Linked DNA regions of Caenorhabditis elegans. The protein of the gene in region 2 interacts with the protein of the main gene of each other region in a pairwise test. Each region holds a gene or a part of one and is shown on either strand. Other genes may lie near its edges.

Evidence for each region.
Region 1: the proteins of skr-20 (region 2) and fbxa-101 interact in a two-hybrid assay, tested with the Caenorhabditis elegans proteins (one large-scale study listed by BioGRID).

Annotation. Positions count from the first base shown.
Region 1 is NC_003279.8:12,958,073-12,962,134, reverse strand, and holds fbxa-101 (DUF38 domain-containing protein), read left to right. Parts: upstream 1-2,202; 5' UTR 2,203-2,215; coding exon 2,216-2,274; intron 2,275-2,329; coding exon 2,330-2,413; intron 2,414-2,470; coding exon 2,471-3,152; intron 3,153-3,199; coding exon 3,200-3,403; 3' UTR 3,404-3,495; downstream 3,496-4,062. Other genes in the region: fbxa-140 (F-box domain-containing protein), read left to right, coding at 674-726, 781-1,453, 1,503-1,763.
Region 2 is NC_003284.9:13,222,293-13,225,277, forward strand, and holds skr-20 (Skp1-related protein), read right to left. Parts: upstream 1,246-2,985; coding exon 724-1,245; downstream 1-723. Other genes in the region: skr-19 (Skp1-related protein), read right to left, coding at 1,949-2,416.

The DNA.
Region 1 (4,062 bases), on a different chromosome or scaffold from region 2:
TTTTACGCGCAAAGTTGAGAGTGAGATTTTTCCTCATTTTTTGGATTTTCACTGCAAATTTAAGAAATTTTACGAAAATAAACGTTTTATTTCAAATTCTATTTGCTACTTTGCATGCAAATTGTTTTTTTTTCATTATATTCTGAAAATAAAATAAGTTAAAATTAGCCGTTTCAAAAAAAGTTTCCGAAACTACGGTAGTTCTCGGAGTACGCAACTTGCGTACCGGGCATCTCATTTGACGCACAGAATTCCTAGTTTATTGTTTTTGGATTTTCAAAATTTCAAACATAGTTTTTGCATTTTTCCTGTCGTTTTTGTGATTTTTATTTGTGAAAATTTATTAGACAGAAAAGAAATTTTCAGTTTTCACGAAATTTACTGGAAAATTTGTTATTTTACCGTTAGGTAACGTATTTTACAAAGATATTTCACTTTATCCGTATTTTCTTATTGTTTTCTTCACTTCAAACGATTGAAAACTGAATCAATCAAATAAATTTCCTATTTTTCAGGTAATTTGTCAAAATGACTGGCTCATCTCGTGGAATTGTCGAAATGACAAAGAAACTGGATCGATTAAATTGTTAGTGTTAAAATGAAATTTGCATCGGATTCAGTTTAAAATTTGCTTATTTTCAGATCGAAGAAAAGACCACTTACGCTTTTAAGCATGCCAGTTGATGTTATGGAGAAAGTTATGAAGAAAGTGGATCCATACGATTGGTATCAAATTTTGAATGTTAGGCAAATGTTAAAAAAAAACCAAATGAGTTTCAGGATTTCCGTCCGCAATTCCAATCGAAATCTTCGAGATTTCGTCGACAGCCAGCACCTCAAATTGGACATTGATGTTTCTATTGAGGGCACTTTTCACACCATTGATATCAATGGAAATCAATCCTTCGGACCTTTCCATCCGGTCGTGGCTGATGATGAAAGAAGAACCATCTACAATAAAAGACTACAGTTTGCTCTCAGAAAATTGTTCGTGGTTATGAAGCTTCCAAGTGCCCAAATTGAAGAGTTCAAACTGGATTTTGACTTTATGGGAAGAGGAAGTGACGAATTTGAAGATATCTACGATATTGGTTCCAGAAGAGTTAGTTTTAAAAATAAACTGTTGAGTGCAAGCCTGAGAACAATCGATAAGGAGTTTGGAGAGTTTCACTGTTTCCAAGCGAAATCAGTTTCTCTGAGTGGACTAAAGGAACCTCGAACTGTGCTCATTCTCAAATCTTTCAAGTCTGGAACTCTCGAGAACATTGAAATCATTAATTCCTACAAGTTCTACTTCAGTTGGCAGCTGACGCTTTCGGAGCAGTGGAAGAATGCGAAAAAACTGAAAACTGGACTTTCCACTGATCGCTACACCGGAATTCGAGTTGCTGAACTGTTCGCATTTTCAAATATCGAATTCACAACTGTAGTATTGTCATCTGATTTGAAAGTGGTATAGAAATTCTTAATTATTGATTAATTAATTTTAGATTTTTTTTCAGTTGGTTGATTCGTCTGCAAAGCTGGAAACTTGTCTCAGCAGGAACACGTATGACAGCGAGGATGACAGCGATGAAGATAGTGATGAAGACAGCGATGATGAGGACAATAGTGGAGTGTTAACGGTGTCAAAAGAAGTGCTCAAAGTGTTCGATCCGAACTTTGTTGGCTATAACGGAACAATCAATTACAAAGCAAATGGATTCGAATATCTCATTGAAGTCACTGAATTCGAAACTAAAATTGTGAAGAAAATCGAATAATCTTCTCATTTTTCAAAATTTGCTTTTGTTTTACTAGTCACATGAATTCTTATTTTGTTACTTTTTTTGTTTTGAAACTGATTAAACCAATAATTTGGGTTACGGCTGAATGTTACCTTCCGTTTAATATTTTGTAATCTTCCCAGTTTTTCTATATTTTAAAAGGAATTCTCGAATAGTTAACAAAGATCCTTTTCCAAACTACGGTAACTCTCAGAGTACGCAGTATGCGTACCGGGCATCTCATTTGACGCACAAAAATTCTAAATTTTTTTTTGAATTTTCAAATGTGGTTTATGCGTTTTTCTAACCAATTTTTTGTGATTTTTCCCCTGAAAATGATTTAAAATAAGTAAAATAACCTGTTTTTGTAAAAATTAATTTCGTTTTTACACATTGAACGTGATTTTCTATATTTACTCAAATTAATTTTTTTCAGGTAATTCGTCGACATGACTAGCCAAAGAGCAGAAATTGGTGAAACGACGGACAAGCAGAATTCCATGAAATTGTTAGTTATTTAGGCTACAATAATTTCAAATAACTTTTTTAAAACACATTTTCAGATCGAAGACAAGCTCGCCGACGCTTTTTGACTTGCCTCTGAATATTATGAAGAAAATTGTGAAGAAACTGCATCCATACGATTGGTAAGATCAAATAAATAAAAATTATATTTTTAGAAAGTATAATAAAAATATTTTCAGGATTTCCGTTCGCAATTCCAATGGAAATCTTCGAAGCTTCATCGACACCTTGAAACTGGATTTGGACATTGATATTTTTATTGAGGGCCATAGGTACACCATTGTTCTCAATGGAAAATCATTTCGTTATCGGTATAGATTTGTGCCTTATGATGAAATAAGCAACGCTCGCAATGAACCTTTCCATCCGGTCGTGGCTGATGATGAAAGAAGAACCATCTACAATAAAGGACTACAGTTTGCTCTCAGAAAATTGTTCAATGTCATGAAGCTTCCAAAAGCTCAGATTGAGAAGTTCAGTCTAGATTTCGACTCAATTGGAGGATATGAAGACTATGTCCACAATGAACGGTTGAGGTCAAGCCTGAGAACAATCGATATGGAGTTTGGAGATGCTCACTGTTTCCGAGCGAAATCAGTTTCTCTGAGTGGATTCAAGAAACCACGAGCTGCGCTAATTCTCAGTTCTTTCGATGCTGGAACACTTGTGAAATTTGAGATTATGCGTTGCATCTTCAACGATATTCGTCCACTAACTTGCTTGGAACAGTTTAAAAATGCAAAACAATTGCGAACTGATCTTAACATTTGCTCCGTCTTTGGATTTACTGTGTCGGATCTTCTTGGATTTTCAAGTATTGAATTCACCAGTCCAGAGGTATCGCCAAATGATCTGAAAGAGGTATAGCAATAATCAATTTTTAGTTGATTTAATTAAAATTCTTTCAGTTGGTAAATTCGTCTACAAAGCTGGAAACTTGTGTCGTCAGCAAGCAATTAGATGATAGTGAATCAATTGCAGAAGAAATGCTCCAAGAGTTTGATCCTACCTTCGCTGGCAAAACCGGAACCATCAATTACAAGGCAAATGGATTTGAATATGTCATTGAAGTCACTGAAGAGCGAGTGAAAATTGAGAAGAAACTCGGCTGATTATTTAATTTTAATTTTTGTTTTTTGGTTTTTCAAAAATTGTTGTTTAATTTATTGTTGTTCATCTCGTTCTCATGAATTTGCTTTTGTCATTTTTCTTTGATCAACACTGGAAGGCTAATAGACTACAAACTAGACATTTTATAAGCCTAAGCCAAGAAAGTACATTGAAAAAACGTCGCTTCCGGTAAAGAAAATAAATCAACCGAAAGCGAAACTTGACTTTTTTTTGAAAATTATTTATGGAAAGTTCATGTTTTTAGTCGTTTTAGTGAAAAAATTTAAAAAAAAAAATTAAAAAAAAAAAAAAAATCAAGTGCTTAAATAAATTATATATTTTTGAAAAGAAAAATGAATTTATTCCTGCTCTAAGCTACAAATTTGTCATATTTTGAACCTTTCTTCTAGAAATTTTAGCTGAAAGTGAAGAATATACTAGCAAAAATTGTAAATTAATTTTTTAAAAACGTTTTTAGAAATTTTAAATTTTTTCACAAAAAAAAAATTTCCCAAAGTGTTTTTTCAAAATTCAAATTTTAATTTTATTACAAGCCCAAAACGTGTAACGAGTTCTATAACAATGATCTGGACCGCAAAATATGTCATTTTTGCAGCTATTTACACATCCCTTCGATGCACCATGGGGGCTCATTGCTCCA
Region 2 (2,985 bases):
TGATGAAATTATCATGTCCTAATGCAATGTCCTAATGCATACATAAAAAATTTTAGATGAAATGGATTAGCATGAAAAAAGCTATACAATAAAAACTATTATTGGAAACAACCGGCACTGGATATATGAATATTATGTATCTTTTAATCACAACTCTCGAAAAAGTTATCCCCCCAAAGTCTGAAGAATTGAGCATAGTGAAACTTTACTTAACTAACAAAATTGAAAAATAATATTCCACAAAAAAGGGCAAATTAAGGCAGATGAAAAAAAAAACTTTAAAAAAAAGCACACTATTAAATTTTCCAGATTTAGTAATCAGAACGCTGCATTCAATTCCGTCATGAAGTTTATAAACGTTTAGTTCTTTTAAAACCTAGTATTTTGCAATAAACACCAGAAATGTACAAGTTCGGCCAAATTGGATGCAAAATCAGAAAAAATCGGAAATAAAAATCCGGTAATTTGGGGGCTCACCTCATATTCTGAAACAACGAGAACTTGATTTACATATGGTTCTTTGATATTTAATTTTAAGCAATTTTTTAATTAGTAGTGACACTTTAGTTGTTTGTTTTGTTTTCCAACTATTCTTTTACATTCTTATAACTTCAATTTTTCATTTATGAGGTTTGTAAAATAATTTATTCACAAATAAACTTGAATCAAAGTGTATAAATATATTCTTTCAAACATCTTCTTCACAATATGTGAAATTAAACATCAATCAGAATCCGTTGTGAATGTCATTGCAGATGTTCCCTCTCCACCATTTGCCAACGCTTCCTCCATTTGTTCTTCATCTGACCTGATTCCATAGATCTTGCGAATTTCTTCCGTGCTTTTTCCTCGAATCAATTCTGCTGCGGCTGCACACCCCATATTCATCAAATCTTCGACTCCAAGCGCATGAGAAGCATTGAGTAGTGCAAAAAGAACTCCCGATTCCACGTTGAAAAACTGCTTGTCCCATTCGGAAAAATCGTGGTAACGAATTTTGGAGTCTCGTCGGGCGAGCGGGTTGTCCTGATAATGGTAAAGCCACTCTATTACAGCTTGAACAATCGATGAGTGGAATGGAACGAGAATTGGATCTGCTCGTTCACAATTTCTGTCGTTCACTCCATGGTCAATAAACTTCTGATTGATAAATGCACAAAATTTCATTGGTCCTCGTTCGACATTAAAAATTTGACCATCCTCTGACTTCAGTTTGTACAAGGGCGCAGATCGTGGTGTGGTCATGATGTGGAACTAAAGGTAATTGATTAAATAGTTTTGCAATTGTTTCAAAAATATTATTGAGTGGATTCAAACCACACAAAAATAAATATATAAATGAGATATCTTTAAAGTAATTTTTATTATTTATTTGGCGAATCATAGACCTGTGGAAAAGAGCTGGAAGAATACACTATGAATTTATTAAAGATGGAATGAAACGATTAAAAACTGGAATTGTAAAATTTTTTGAAGAAAAGTGAATGGCGTTGTGAGTCAAGTTGATCAAAGGCAAATTTTCTATATTACAAATCTACAGCGAAAGTTTTAAAATATAAATTGAACGAAGAAGCAGAGAAAATAAAATTGAATACAAGACGGTTGAACACGGGAAATTAGCATTAAATGTGGTGGTGGCTGAGAAGTATGGTGGTTGTATTTAAGTTTTTTTGTAGGGAATCGAGAAGAGAATTTTTGATTCAAACTTGAAAAATAAAGTTGCATTGTTTACAAAATTAGTATGGTTTTTGCATTTTTTCTGTAAAATATAAAAGACGAAGAATACTTTTGCTAAAATGTTGCCCAAATTATCACAAAAATTTCAAAAATGGGCTCAACTTTGATCTTATGATTACATTTTTCTCACTTCAAATATTTACTGAAATGAAAACAAATAGTCTAAATTTTCCCATACCATACGAAACACCACACATCTGAAATGAAATTCCTAAGCCGCTGCAGCCACCACTGGATATACTGGCTGCTCCTCCTCTTCATCATTCACCAATCCGTCAATAATCTCTCTAGGATTTTGTCCGACGACACGGCAGCACATGGCGAAGAGACCAGGTACAGTAAAATCCCTCGCGGCTCGGATTATATCAAAGAGCATGTTGTGCCTCACCATCAGAAACGACGCATCCCAGTCAGGAATATCATTGGTTTCCGGTTCAGATTCGTCGTAGGGCGGGTCGTGCTTATGATGGTCGCACCACTCGATCACTTTCCTCATCACTGTCGCAGGGATTTCTAGTTGAATTGGCTGCAGTTGATCGGCAGGAATCAGGTCTAATCCAGCATTTCTAAATAGGTCCTCAATCCGTCCTATCATTCCGATTGTTCGCCTATCTGCCAGAAATCTCTGCCCATCTGTTGACCGAAGTTTGTAGAGTATTACAGGTTCTTCAACTTGCATTACACTGAAATACTTGAAAATGTCTGTAGTAGAAAGAATGAAAAGAAGAAAAAAAATTAGCAAATAATAGTAATAGTCAGGATTCAAACTATTTCCTTAAATTTTCTAGATGAAGTTCTATTTGTATGTAGTTTCTTGCAGAAGAAAAAACTAAATTAAATCGTTTGACAATAAAATTCAATGTGTAATAATTTCTTTCGCACTTTTGCTTTAAAAAACGTAGCTGAAAATAAAGTTTTTTTATCCGATTCTTAGAACTATTACAATGTTAAACACAGAAATTTTTGGATCAATAAAGTGTATGTCAAGAATATGATGGGTGACCACTAGTTGGTACAAAAAAAATGAAAAAAAAGTCACTGATAAGTCACGACAATCATTACTTTCTGTTGAACAGTTCAATTACATAGCACATTAGGAAAAACTGATTTGAAAATAGCGTTTCAAGAATGTATTATTTTACTAAAATGTTTGAAAATCAAGATTTCAAGAAAATCGATAAGTTTATGTGCGCTCCTCAAGCACACCTTCAGCACCAACGTCTTCCCCCGAAGGCTGGCAGACGACGC